3 linked regions of the Oryctolagus cuniculus genome follow. The protein of the gene in region 2 interacts with the protein of the main gene of each other region in a pairwise test. Links are inferred from orthologs where the notes say so. Each region holds a gene or a part of one and is shown on either strand. Other genes may lie near its edges.

Region 1 (4,603 bases), on a different chromosome or scaffold from region 2:
TTCTTTCTTTAAAATACTCTTAAGAAACCTCACACCGTTTCTCTCATGAATGTTATATTTCATTTTCTTGTGTTGGCCAACTAAATCATAATTAGAAATTATATTAGACAATGATGTTAATGTTTCAGATGCTCTTTGTTTTTTATCTTTTAAACTAGAAAATAAAGGCAACTCTTCCTTATTACAGTTAAAATATTTTATCTTTTCATCTTTAACATCTTTCAATTCATCTAACTTATCAGAACACTGCACTGGGTTTATTTCTTTTACGTGTATACCACTCTTTGCTAAAGGCCTAGCTGATTGTGTATTAGATGGCAAAACTAAAGGTGTTGTAGCTGATAGAAATGAAGTAGGAACTGAAGTAGTTCTATTTGTTTGAGTTTCTTCAGAATGCTTCTGTTGGTCTGAAAATGTAGCCACTTCCTGGGCTACATAATCTGGAGCAGTCCAGGCTTTACTGAATCTAAATGTTGGGCTCTCGGTAACTAATGGCTTCTCATTTTTGAATGCTTCAGAAGTGCAGTCAGTTGTGCTCCTAGTGCTTGTTTCAGAGGAGTTTCCTCTTTTTTTATCCGCTTCAAATACAGGTGGACTATACACAAAGGCCACTGAATTATTTGCAGTACTTGTGGCTCTTTCCATGGTTGTACTGAAAGTAGATGGGCTTTGTTTTTTACTAATTAAGTGTTCCCAGGAAGGTACATTAGATTTACTTAAAATATCTGAGAAAGGTGCAGCAGCATGAGTAGTTGGAGCATCTAAATTTGTTAGCCAATTATTTATATGTTGAGTCTTGGAGAATGACAGTTTATCTTCAACAAAGCAACTTGGATTAGCTGATTGTAGATTTGCAGATCCAAGGGAAAGAGAATTTGGCTGGATTGATGTAGAAGATTCCTTATTAAGTGTTAAATATATATCTTCACGTTCTCCAACCTCTAGACTGTCTATACTTGAGAGGGTTTCAGAGTTGGTTATTCGATTAACTTCATCACAAAATTTCTGGGAAAAAAAAAAGGAACACTGTTTTTAAATCCATCCAATTTTCCTTGGCATGCAAAATAGAGTAATATGATTACATAGAATGTGGATAAATAAATAATTTATATCCTTGCAACAGTCTCCAGTGCAAAAAGTAGGAGGGTAACAAAAAGTTATAGTAAAATTTGTTTGCCTTAACTCCTAAAGGAACAATATCTGATTATGCTATTCACAGTTACAGCTTAGAAAATAATTTTGTTATTAATTATCAATAATTTTGCTACCCCACTTAGAGTAGGGAGTTTCTTGAAGGTTTCATAAAAGCAAGAAAAATTCTGGATTTTTTCCTGAAATAGCCACTGCTCTTAAATGTGGCTCCTAAAAGCTCTGTGATTCTAAAATGAGCTTTCTGTTTTTAAGAGATAGATCCTTTTTATAAAAGTTAATCTTGGCTGGCGCCACGGCTCAATAGGCTAATCCTCCACCTGTGGCGCCGGCACACCAGGTTCTAGTCCCGGTCGGGGTGCCCGATTCTGTCCTGCTTGCTCCTCTTCCTGTCCAGCTCTCTGCTGTGGCCCAGGAGTGCAGTGGAGGATGGCCCAAGTGCTTGGGCCCTGCACCCGCATGGGAGACCAGGAGAAGCACCTGACTCCTGGCTTCGGATCAGCGCGGCCATTGTGGGGTGAACCAATGGAAAAAGGAAGACCTTCCTCTCTGTCTCTCTCTCACTGTCCACTCTGCCTGTCAAAAAATAAAAAAAAAATTTAAAAAAGTTAATCTTGTAGTATATAGTAAGGTTTTGAACTCTGATTCTATGTTAGAATCATGTAAGAAAACTTGTAAAATACCTATTTATGAGTCCTCATGGCTTATCATTTGGATAGGGTCTATGTATTGGCATTTTTATTATTTTTAAATTCTCTGCATAATTCTAATACAGATTTATGGTTAAGAAATATCGAGATTAATGACTCCTTTTTGAAGATTTAGCATAGTAATAACTTTTTTAAGTTCTATAGACAATTTTACCAGTATCTCACTGAAATTTCCATGAAATTTATTAATTTTAAATACAATTTCATGATCACTTCAAAGTATGGTAAATGTTTTAAAGTAGTTCTCATTTCTCACTCATATCTAAAATGGATTAATCTATACATATTGGATATATGTAGTCCATATAATGCATATACAGAAATAAATTATAAGAAGATATTAAATTTAAATCTAGGCCAAAGTTAAATGAACTCAAAGAAAGAAAATTAGTGCCCCTTATAATGTGCCATAGAGGGTGACATTGTGGCGTAGCGAGTAAAGGTACTGCCTACAATGTTGGCATCCCATATTCAGGTCAGTTCATGTCCTGGCTGTTCCACTTTTGATCCAAATCCCTGTTAGTGGTCTGAGGAAAACAGTGGAAGATGTTTCATTTGGGACCCTACTACCCATGTGGGAGACCCGGGTGAAGCTCCTGGCTCCTGGCTTTGGCAGGGCTCAGCCTTGGCAGTTGGGCCAGCTTAGGCATGAATCAGCAAATGGAAGATCTCTTGCTCTTTCTCTCTCTGTAACTCTGACTTTAAATAAATAAATAAATCTTTAAAAGAAATACTAATATAGATGTCATAAATTTTAGAAAATTTAAACATTCTGGTATTAGAAACATATTCTTTTTCTAGTCCAGAAAGTAAACCAAGAAATCAAAACATTCTAGAATAAAAATTTTTGTTTATATGATAAATGTATATTAATATATTACTGTGAAACTTTGAAAATGAGTCATGAGAGCATTATATTTATAGCATTTATCCTCTATTCATCACAGCCTTCAGTACTTTTCCTAAAGGGATGGTCACTCAACCCAGTTAAGAGAACAAAACAAAGCAGTTACTTCAATGTCTATTCTTATTATTTTATTGATGATGATAAGGAAAGAAACTTGGCCTAGAGGGCTTTCTTTGAGACTAAATCTATAAGACAAACAGATCTGGGTTAGAAGCTTCTTCTAGAATGACTATATTTCAAGAATTTTCTAATCATTAACCATTGAAAAATGCTCACCTTCATTTATACATTATATATTTCATCTTATTTTTGCTTCCCTGTGTGTAGTATATTATTCTTTCCTTTGGCTTAATTAGATTTTGATTTGCCTTTGTGTAGTGTGTGTGTGTGTGTGTGTGTGTGTATGTGTGTATGTGTACAATGATACTTACTGTTGGAGTTGGTTGAATTTCTTGGATTTGGATTTATAAGCATCAAATTTGAAACATTTTCAGTCATGGTTTCTTCAAATATTTTCTCTCTTTGTGTGATTTTAATTAAATGTGTTAAATATTTAATATTGTCTTATAGGTCACTGACACTCAAGTTTTTTCCAGTATTTTCTTTTCCACTGTTTCAGTTTGGATAATTTCTGTTGTTATGTGTTCAAATCCACTGTTCTTTTATTCTGAAATGACTTCATCGTTTAGTCTATCCAGTAAACTTTTCATTTCAGATATTAAGATTTTAGTTCCAGAATGTCTATTTGGTTATTTTAAAAATATCTTTCTTCATTATGTTCAAATCTATTTTAATTCCTTGAAAATATTGTCAAAATGATTTTAAATCCCTTGGCTATTATTTCCATCATTGCTGCCATTTTGTGTCGGATTTTGTTGCAAATTTTCTCCGTGTTATGGTTCATATTTTCTGGTCCATCATATGTCTGATAACCTTTGATTCAGTGTTGACATTGTGAGCGTTATATTGCTGTATGTTTAGATTTCAGTCTTTTTTTTTTTTTTTTTTTTTTTTTTTTTGACAGGCAGAGTGGACAGTGAGAGAGAGACAGAGAGAGAAAGGTCTTCCTTTGCCGCTGGTTCACCCTCCAATGGCCGCCGCTGCAGCCGGCGCACCGCGCTGATCCTGGCAGGAGCCAGGAGCCAGGTGCTTTTCCTGGTCTCCCATGGGGTGCAGGGCCCAAGCACCTGGGCCATCCTCCACTGCACTCCCTGGCCATAGCAGAGAGCTGGCCTGGAAGAGGGGCAACCGGGACAGAATCCGGCGCCCCAACCGGGACTAGAACCCGGTGTGCCGGCGCCGCAAGGTGGAGGATTAGCCTATTGAGCCACGGCGCCGGCTAGATTTCAGTCTTAAGAGAATGTTTTTTATTGACAGGCAGCTAGGTTACTTGTGGATTTTTTTTTTTTTTTGAGTGTTGTCTAAAGATTATATCTCACAGAAAGCCTAGGAACTCAGAAGGGCTATTAATTGTTTCAGTTTTTCAAACTTATCAACGGTACTGCTTATGGTTGAATGTCTAACAACAGATGTTTCATATATTATATTCAGATCTAAAGTTGGTTGTGGCAGGAAGGCATATCATCAAAGCCAGCAGAAACCTTGTTTGCTTTCTTTACCTTGCCACCATTGATTTATTGTTAGATGAGTCAGGCCAGGATTATAAATTGAATATTGATAGTGGCCAATTAAGAATTTCATATACAGCTGGCGACGCAGCTCACTAGGCTAATCCTCCACCTTGCGGCACCAGCACACCGGGTTCTAGTCCAGGTTGGGGCGCCGGATTCTGTCCCGGTTGCCCCTCTTCCAGGCCAGCTTTCTGCTGTGGCCAGAG
Region 2 (5,072 bases):
AAAAGATTAATTTAACTTGATGTGAAGATGAACACTTGATCAATATCCTACTATAGTATACTAATTCTAGTTTGTGACTTAATTAATGAATTAAAATTAATTCTAGTTCTAGTTGACTTTTCTAAAATGCCAAACACAACTTTTTGCTTTGTTTTACTAATTTTTTAGCTTCTAAAATTATTAGTGATTCTTTAAAGCAGCTTTCTCTCCAGAGGACAGCTTGAAAGGTATAAAGCAGGAGCTGGCATTGTGGTGTAGCAGGTACGGCTGCCATCTGCAATGCCTGCAATCCACAGGGGCATGGGTGCCGGTTCAAGTCCTGGCTGCTCAATTTCTGATTCTGCCCCTGGCTAATGGCCTGGGAAAAGCAGTGGAGGATGGTCCAAGTGCTTTGGCCCCTGCTAGACATGTGGGAGACTGCAAGAAGCTCCTGGCCTCGGCCCGGCTAGGTGCTGGCTGTTGTGGTCTTCTGTGGGGATGAACGAGAAGATGGAAGACCTCTCCACCTCTCTCCCCCTCTCTCTCTCCCCCTCTCTTTAACTCTGCCTTTTAAGTAAATAAATAAGTTAAAAACAACAGTCTAAAGCATCAAGGAGGACAGACCTGTCAGGTCTTAGCTCCATCTGATCATTTGGTTCTGCCATATGCTGTTACTGCCCTGGCTTCCCGACAGGTATTCAATGTTAAGGACTACAATACATGGAATCATTTTACCTTTATTACTCACTACAATTTCCATCTACTTCTAGTTTAGAGGTCTGTCATATTGGGTTCTGCCAAATGTGCAAGTACTAAAAGTTTTATTTAAAGCCTGAAGATCTTGTAATTAGAGACTGGCAGTAATTCTGGTAGCAAAGAGTACACACCCTCTTACTGTTTCCATGCCCAAAAAAGGGACAACAGCTGGCTCACATATTAAAATGGATGAGCTGATAATGATTTTTACTCTTTGAAGGCAACATTCTATGTTTTTCCACACTCTTGTGTATTCAACAGCAGAAAGAAGCACTTTAAATGTTTATTTTTAATATTCATAAAAATCATCCTGTAATATTAAAGATTCAGCATTTAAATTTCTGAATTACCTCAGTGTTCCTCTGAGTTCTCCATAGTTTACAATGATTGCTGCACCTTCTTTATAGCCTTGATTGAAGCCCTGTTGAAGAGCAACTGCTTTGCCAGCATCGATTCCTTCTCTATAGCCTTCCTAAAAATAAGCAATGAACAACTACAGTTGTAACTAATACCAAGTGAACCATATGTAGGCTTTTCTAGAAAGGCACAGACCCAATTTAGAAAACTGATGAAACTGGCTTTTACTGCATTCTTGAAAATAATATGGTATAGCCCCACAAGCAATGCAGGTTATGTTCCTCATAAAAATTTATTACCGGTTTATTGTTCCTTATCCCACTTTTGAAGTGTGTTCTCACCCAGTTTTTAACACCTCTGTTTTAGCAATGTCTTCACAGAAAGGAAACATGGAAACTTACATGTCTGGCCCTCTGGCAACTGAGTGGAAAGGTGTGAGTGGGTGAGGAGACAGAACAAAGTAAGGAAAGGCAAAACTGTTTTAGAAGGAAAGTGAGAAGCCTGGTTTTAGAAATTTTGCTTGATCCTGAAATCCAAGTAAATTCTCTGTGGACAGAAACTTTGTTCTGCATGTCCCAAGTATGTCACAGTACTCAAAAGATGCTTATTATTGGGGCCAGCACTGTGGAAAAGGGGGTAAAGTGGCTGCCTGCAGTGCTGGCATTCCATACAGGCTCTGGTTTGAGTCCTCGCTGCTCCACTTCCGATCCAGCTCTCTGCTATGGCCTGGGAAAGCAGTAGAAGATGGCCCAAGACCTTGGGACCCTGCACTGGGAGGAAGCTCCTGGCTCCTGGCTTCAGATTGGCCCAGCTCCAGCTGATGGGGCTTTTTGGGGAGTGATCCAGCAGATGGGAGACCTCTCTCTCTCTGCTCTGTAACTGTAACTTTGTCTTTCAAGTAAATAAATAAATTCTGAGAGAGAGAGAGAAAGAGAGAGATGTGGCAGTATTGACTGGTCCAGCCTTAGCGTCACATAAAACTTTTTGTAACTGACAACGTGGTTGCTGAACTAAGCAAATATTGTTTTGCTGAAACATTAATTTGGGGCAGATCCCCAATACAGCTTTAGGAGCAATTTAATGGCTGGCAAATATAGTAAGTGGAAGCAACCCCCACCATTTAGTCTTCACCCAGTACTAAGCTCTGAGTACTCCATCTGGAAATTACGCTTAGACTCAACAAATAAAATTAGACATGAATAATTCACATCCAACAAATAAGAAGAAAATTGGTTTTAATATTCCCTTACTTGGTCATCAGTATTCCATCTTAGCTTTCTCCTACTGCCTTTTTTTTTTTTTTTAATATTTACTTGTTTGTTTGAAACGCAAAATTACAGAGATGCAGGGGCAGAGAGAGATCTTCCATCAGCTGGTTCATTCCCAAATGGCTGCAACTGCTGGAGCTGAGCTGATCCGAAGCCAGGAGCTTTTTCTGGGTCTCCCACGTGGGTGCAGGGGCCCAAGGACCTGGGACATCTTCTACTGCTTTCCCAGGCCACGGCAGAGAGCTGCTCAGAAGTGGAGCAGCCGGGACTCGAATCAACTCCCATATGGGATTCGGGCACTGCAGGAGGTGGCTTTACCCGCTATGCCACAGCCCCGACCCCTCTCCTACTGCCTTTAACATTGTAAAGTTCACTTTTTTCGTGTATCTTGGTTAAAACACTCCTAACTCTGGGCTCCCCACCCACTCAAGCTGCCCGTGGAAGCCTGAATGCGCGTCCTTTGACAGCCATAATCAGCAGTCAAGTAATCACTGTATTGGTATGTCTCTCCCCCACCCACTTCCCTGTGATCATCATCAGACAGCAATCGCTTCCAAGTGTGGACAACATGTGTTTTGGTGGGCGTCCCGCTTCTCCAACGCCCTCCCGCAAGCGCTCAAACAACGCGTCTCTGGGGTTCACCCGCTTCCAAGCAACCCACTGGGAAATCCTGGCGGGACGCGGGGCGCACCGCGTGGCAAAGGGTAAGGACGGCGGCGCTAGCCAGACTGGGACCACTGGGACCACGGTGGGCCCGGCTTCTTCACAAACTCGGGGCTCCGCTCCACCACAGCCCGGCACCCCCCGGGGTCCCCGCACCCTTCCCACCCCCCTCCCCCGGCTTTACTTTCACTCGTTTCTGCATGTGACTCCGCCATTCCCGCTGTACCAGGAGCGACTCGTCAGCTTCCTCATCAAACACGTCCCCCTCCTCGGCCGGGCTCTGGACCGAGGGGGTAGCCCGAACCCACGACATCACCGAGATGGCTACGGAGCCGCAGGCAACAGGAAACACCCGCGACTCCTTCCGGTGTGAGGGGCGGGACGAAGACTGCGCTCCTGGCGCTCAGGGCGGGTGCGCGTGCGCCGAGGCGATCCGTCGTGGTTGCGGGCTGTCCAGCCTGACGTCCAGAGCTTTTGGACTCGCGGACTTTGGGACTAAGTCAGTTAACACAGTGTGTCCGTGTGCACCTTGATTCCTTCCTCGGCTGGGGCGTGACCTTGATCAGACCCCGCATTCCTGTCGTAGACTGCAGTGTTCTGGGTGTGGGAGAGGCTCCTTTTGTAAAATCACTCAAGGCGGTTGAGCCAGTACTGCCCAAAGACTGTCTCAGAATCTCAGCGTGTTCAGGGGACGTGACAACCTGACACGGATTGATTGTTAGGAGCTTGGAGCAAAGAGCAAAAGAGTCAGAGAGTGAACTACTGCGGCCCATTTGAGATCAATAGGAAATAGAAAGGTTGCCTTTGCCATCGATACATCTTCCTTGATTCTCAGTATCCTTCGCTGCCTTCCACTCTTGCTCACGTGCGCTAAATGCAAACTGTGATCTTGGCGAGGGCGGGAACTTGTCTGCCCCAGCACCAGCAGGTTCTGACACTGCAGGTGAAAGCACCCCAGTGGCATCCCGTTTTGCCTTTGTTTGTGTGGGTAAATGAGTCCTGTGACAGTCGTGGTTTGTTTGTCTTACCTTTTCTTGAATACCTGTGTGTCTGGATACATTAGTGAATAAAACAGATAAAAGTTCCTAGCCCTTTGGATTTTATTCCTGTAGAATTTGCAGAGCACACACAGCAAACAAATATGAGTAACTTAGGTAGTTTGAAGATTATAAATAATAAATGTTATGAAACAAATTTAAAACAAGTAAAGTAAAGGGAATCCTGAGTGTGTGTGTGTGTGGGGGGGCGAGTGGATGGTGCAGGCTACAGATTTAAATTTTAGAATTTTGCATCTCACAAATATATAACCTGTAAAAGGCATATATTAAGTAAACTCTTAAAAATGTATTTGTTAATTAGAAACAAAATGGCAATAAAGGAATCAATAAAAACAATTGAATAACGTTGACTAGCTGAGCGCATTTAGCCTAGTGCGTGAGATGCTAGCCTCCTGCATTGGAGTGCCTTCATTAGAAGCCAGCCTCTCACTTTGTTTGGAGTGCCTGAGTTTGATGTGCAGCTCTGACTCCTGACTCCAGCTTCCTGCTAATGCAGACCCTGGGAAGCAGTGGTGATAGCGCAAGTGGGTTCCTGCTGCTCACATGGGAGACTTTGATTGCCTTCCCAGCTCCCAACTTTGTCCAGCTCCAGCCTAGATTATCACTGGTATTTTGGGAAGTGAAGCAGTGCCTAGGAGCTCCCCCTCTTTGTCTATCTCTCAAATAAAATTAAAAAATAGAAAATCTTTTTTTGAAAAGATTTATTTATTTGAAAGTCAGAGTTACACAGAGGGAGGAGAGGCAGAGAGAGAGAGAGAGAGAGAGAGAGAGAGAGAGAGAGAGAGTCTTACATCCGCTGGTTCACTCCTCAATTGGCTGCAACAGCCAGAGCTGCGCTGATCCGAAGCCAGGAGCTAGTAGCTTCTTCCGGGTCTCCCACGAAGGAACAGGGGCCCAAGCACTTGGGCCATCTTCTACTGCTTTCCCAGGCCATAGCAGAGAGCTGGATTGGAAGTGGAGCAGCCGGGTCTTAAACCGGCACCCACATGGG
Region 3 (4,603 bases), on a different chromosome or scaffold from region 2:
CTTCACGAGAGACATGACTCCGATGCGGGTCAGCACCTGCTGGCGACTCAGTCCCTCCCGGGGGACTCCATCAGCGAAGGTCTCTGAGCCGTCTGCCCCAGGCTCACACAGATGGCGCATGAACAGAGACACATAGGCCCTAGGAGCATGGGGGTGGGAGGGGGTTAGGGAGCCTCAGAAGGGGTACAGGGCAGTGAGGGAGGCACAGGAATTACTGAACTCAGGTGCCCCCAGGTTCCTCCCCTGGGCCTCTCCCCCTTGCCACTCTCAGCCCCCCAAATCCTAACTCTCCGTTATGCCCTTCCGCCCTCCCCCACAACTCTTAGGCCTTGGTGCTTTGTTCCTGGGCCCCATCAGTCAGCTCTTCATCCGTTCCACCAGCTCCTCCTGCCACGTGGCTGAGGCCAAGTAAATGTGAGGCCAGGGCAGCCAGGCGAGGCTCCTTACTTAAACGCCTCTCCAGGGGGCAGGTGCCTGGCCTGTCTCCTCTAGGCTCAGCTGAGGGGAGGTGGGGGAGGCTGAGCTCACCCCCCAGGAAACTGAGCCAGGACATGTCACACAGCAGGGAGGGTGGGATCAGTTGAGTAAGGTCACATCACGTGGTGGCCAAGAGGAAGACAGCAACGCCCAAGGCTTCCCCTTCTGTCCCACTCAGCGCCACATCCCCGCACTCACTTGAACTCCTTCTCCGTCTTGCCCCTCAGGTCCCGCACCAGCCACTGCGTGGTGAAGGCATCCTGCGGCGGCATCCCCCAGCGCATCACAGCATTGAGGAAGGCCTTCCGCTGGCGCGTGTTGAACCCCAACACCTGAGGGCGAGGGCAAGGAGGCAGGTCTTGACTTGGGCCCCAGCCTTCAGTGCCCACAGCCCCTGACGGGCCTGGGCCCAGCTCTCACCTCAATGTTGCCCCCAACTCGAGCCAGCAGTGGAGGCAGTGGCTTGTCCTTTTCATTCCGGAGCTGCCTCTTTGACTGGCGGCGCCCTGAGGGCCGAGGTGACACGGGTTATTGAGCGCATCCACCAGCGTCAGCACCCACTCCCGCAACACACGGAACTCAGGGGCGCCCTGGGTTATGTCTGAGGTACTCCTGATTTTCCTCCGAGCCTTTTCAGAACTACTCACCCAGAGAGTCTAAAAGAATCAAGTCTTACTAAAACATTAACAACAACTATTGGACACGGCAGGGAAGTAAAATGATGGAACCTTCCTAAGCCCGCAGACCATCACAATGGCGAGGTTACAGACACTTCTCTCTTCCTGCCCATCTGCAATCTTTAGTTTTTCTACCAAAAAACCATGAGGGAAGAGCACAGGGAGAAAGTCAGGAAAACAGCCACCTTCAGGACGCTCGTCAAAGTCTTCGTCCTCCTCCTCTGATCCCACCGAGTACTCCGACTGGTTATCTGTGAGGGAAACAAGGGCTCCGCGGTCAGTGACGGCTTCCTGGGTAGGCCACGCTGGGGTCCCCTCCTCTCTGGCCTCGGCCCCCTTGGGGGTGCTAGGTCACTGCCTGCAGCCTGACCTCACGGCCACATATCCTCGGCCTTGTCCACTCACTGGGCATCTCTTGTACTGCCCCGAGTCCTGCTGAACCTACTCGAAGCAATGACCTGTGGGCGTCCACAGGATTCCTCTGCAGCCCCCAGACCGTCTAAGTTGCCTGCAAGCCCACCTGGCCTCTGATGGTTCCTACCGACCCCTCCTGACTGCGTTCTCCCGAGCAGGGGAAGGCCCCGCCTCCACGCCGCTCTCTCTCTAGGCAGCCCCAGCCTCCAGGCCCCTACCCATCATGATCACGTCCTCCCTCCCCGCTTCCTGCATCCGGGGTCCTCACCCTGGTCCTCCTGAGCAGCATCGTTGTAGTTGACCTGCTTGCGGACCCGCTTGCCCTTGCCGAGGTTGCGGGCCAGGTCCTCCTGCTGCTGCTCGTAGTGGTGCCTCAGCAGCTTCTCCCAGTAGTCGGGGTCCACGTTCTCCTCCTGCTTGATGATCTCTCGCTCGATCTCCTCGATCTGAAGGGCAGCACAGCGACTGCTGGGGCCTCCTTCTCCGGTCCTTGCACCACTGCCTCTGGCAGCACCCCACCCCCGGGCTCCCCCTCAGCTCTGCCGACCTTTGTTGGACACTGGACATCTCCTGCGCCAGCCCTTGCTGCACTGCACCCTGTGCCTCTGTCACTGCTAAGCCCCTTCCCTAACCCTCTGCGTGCCCTGCACTGAGTCGCAAGTGCCCTTTTGTGCTCACCGGGACTTTGTGCCGAAGTCACTCTCTAAAGCCTAGTCTCATGTGTGAGACTACAGGTTGTTTCAGGGGCAAGCCTTTGCCATAGTGATACAGATGCCACTGGAGGTGGGCAGCACCGTGGCATGGTGGGTAAAGCCACCTCCTGCAGTTCTGGCATCACATATGGGCACCGGTGCGAGTCCTGGCTGCTCCACTTCCTATCCAGCTCTCTGCTATGGCCTGGGTATGCTGCACCCATGTGGGAGACCTGTATGAAGCTCCTGGCTCCTGGCTCAGGATTGGCTCAGTTCTGGCCGTTGCTTGCTCTTTCCCTTTCTGTAGCTCTGCCTTTCAAACAAATAAATCTTAAAAAAAAGATGCCACTTGGGGACGCCCACATCACACATCAGAGTGCCTGGGGCTGAGACCTGGCTCCTGCTAAGGTGCACCCCGGGAGCAGCAAACAAAGGCTCAATTGCTTAGGTCCCTGCCACCCACATGGGAGCCCCAGACTGAGTTCCAGGCTCCTGGCTTTGTAAAGCTCAGCCCAGCCCCAACTGTCGTGGCCACTTAGGAAGTAAACCAGCAGACTGCCTTTCAGAAAACTTTTTTTAAGTTGTTTAAGATCCACTCTGCTTTGCTGGGTGCTAGGTCAAGAGAGCAATAAAAAAACAAGAGCAATGGGTCCTGCTTGAAGGCTCCCGCTTGGAGCTCCAGAGACACGGCATCAGAGACAGCTTGGGACAGACAGCGTCCGGCCCCCACGCCCCTCACCTTGTCCTCTTCCCGCACGACGTACTGGGCCACCTTGAAGGAGCTGAGGTACTCGTTCATGTTCTGCACGTCCGTGTCCTCCGTGGCATCCTGGTTCCGGTCCAGCAGCCTGGCTATGGCCTCATTGTCATAGTGGATCACGCTGCTGTCCTCCTCCTTGTTCTCCCCTGGGGTCGGGAAACAGGACAGGGTTGCGGTTTCCCGCCAGGACCCCAGGCACAGCTCCAGGAAGGTCTGAGGAGAGCCCTCATTTCTGCCTCTTTCTGGGGAAGCCTGGAGGAGGTTCTCTCCCTGGGAGCCGATTCCAGGTTTGGTTTGGTTTGGTTTGGTTTTTTAACCCTACAGGCAGGAGAAAGGCCAGCTCTCCTCCCAGGACCACCGGAAGCAGGCTTTTCTCCCTGCAATGGCGGCAGAGCCGTTTTCCCGCCAGGGGGCCGCAGGAGCCAGGGACTCACGGGAGGGCAGGGGTCTGCTCTCAGGGAGCTGCGGGAGAGGGTCTCACCCTCATTTTCGTCCTTGAACAGTTCCTCGGTGCCAAATTTGAGGATGTCGTCAAGCTCCTGCTTGGACATGGAGCCCGCCTTGGAGCCCAGCCCCGGCCGCACCACCAGGTGTGTCAGCATCATCTTCCTCTTGGCCACCTGCGTGATTCGCTCTTCCACCGACGCCCGAGTCACAAAGCGGTAAATCATCACTTTGTTGGCCTGGCCGATGCGATGAGCCCGGCTGAAGGCCTGCAGTGGGAGAAGGCAGGGGCGGGCAGGGGGAGCAGAAGAGAGGCTGCTCACACGCTCAGGAAAGGAGGCTGGCCAGGAGGGTCTTCTCCCTCCCAGGAGAGGTCTGTGTCTGACCCCAGAGCACGGCAACCCCCCCTGTGAACCCACGGCTCCTTGCTAAACGGGGCACCACGACGTGGGTTCCCACCTGGATGTCATTATGGGGGTTCCAGTCAGAATCAAAGATGATGACAGTGTCAGCAGTGGCCAGGTTGATGCCCAGGCCCCCGGCTCGAGTGGACAGCAGGAAGCAGAACTGCTGGGCCCCAGGAGCTGGAGGTGAGAATTAAAGGACCGAGTTTTTCTTGTACCCAGCGGTTCTGTCCACGTGCCACAAGATGTTCCCTGACCACAGGCAACCATGGTCCCAGCTGAGAATCCACATGCCCCATGTGCCCCACACCAGCCCCCTCCCATCCCAGGGACTTGGCACAGTTTCTGGGGTCTCCCATGCCCACCAGAGACCAAGGCATTTCCCTCTCACCATTGAACCGATCGATGGCCTCCTGCCTCAGGGCGCCGGTGATGCCACCGTCGATGCGCTCATATTTGTAGCCTTCATAGTCCAGGAAGTCCTCCAGCAAGTCCAACATTTTGGTCATCTGGAGCAAGAGCAAAGGCGGGAGTGCAGAACACCGAGGCAGAGGGACAGGCCTGTCCTGAAGGGTCCCTTCACTCCGACCCCAGCCCTGTCAGCTCCCGCGGTGCGCCTCCCGCTACCCGCCCATCATCCCAATTTCTGCCACACTCTCCCTTTCAGACACAGGTTCTTCTCTGAGACCCGTGAAGACACCCCAGGGAAATCTATGGGCCTTCTGAAGACTGCAT

Evidence for each region.
Region 1: the proteins of YAE1 (region 2) and CEP126 interact in a two-hybrid assay, tested with the Homo sapiens proteins (2 studies listed by BioGRID and IntAct). The link is inferred for Oryctolagus cuniculus from reciprocal best matches to the Homo sapiens genes YAE1 and CEP126.
Region 3: the proteins of YAE1 (region 2) and CHD3 interact in a two-hybrid assay, tested with the Homo sapiens proteins (2 studies listed by BioGRID and IntAct). The link is inferred for Oryctolagus cuniculus from reciprocal best matches to the Homo sapiens genes YAE1 and CHD3.

Annotation. Positions count from the first base shown.
Region 1 is NC_091432.1:93,386,924-93,391,526, reverse strand, and holds part of CEP126 (centrosomal protein of 126 kDa), read right to left. Parts: intron 1,006-4,603; coding exon 1-1,005. UniProt on the Homo sapiens protein: Participates in cytokinesis. Necessary for microtubules and mitotic spindle organization. Involved in primary cilium formation.
Region 2 is NC_091447.1:29,675,902-29,680,973, reverse strand, and holds the start of YAE1 (protein YAE1 homolog), read right to left. Parts: upstream 3,405-5,072; 5' UTR 3,337-3,404; coding exon 3,208-3,336; intron 1,208-3,207; coding exon 1,086-1,207; intron 1-1,085. UniProt on the Homo sapiens protein: The complex LTO1:YAE1 functions as a target specific adapter that probably recruits apo-ABCE1 to the cytosolic iron-sulfur protein assembly (CIA) complex machinery. May be required for biogenesis of the large ribosomal subunit and initiation of translation.
Region 3 is NC_091448.1:52,445,179-52,449,781, reverse strand, and holds part of CHD3 (chromodomain-helicase-DNA-binding protein 3), read right to left. Parts: intron 4,378-4,603; coding exon 4,260-4,377; intron 4,049-4,259; coding exon 3,924-4,048; intron 3,734-3,923; coding exon 3,502-3,733; intron 3,167-3,501; coding exon 3,000-3,166; intron 2,015-2,999; coding exon 1,837-2,014; intron 1,406-1,836; coding exon 1,340-1,405; intron 984-1,339; coding exon 898-983; intron 810-897; coding exon 676-809; intron 548-675; exon of another isoform or gene 411-547; intron 140-410; coding exon 1-139.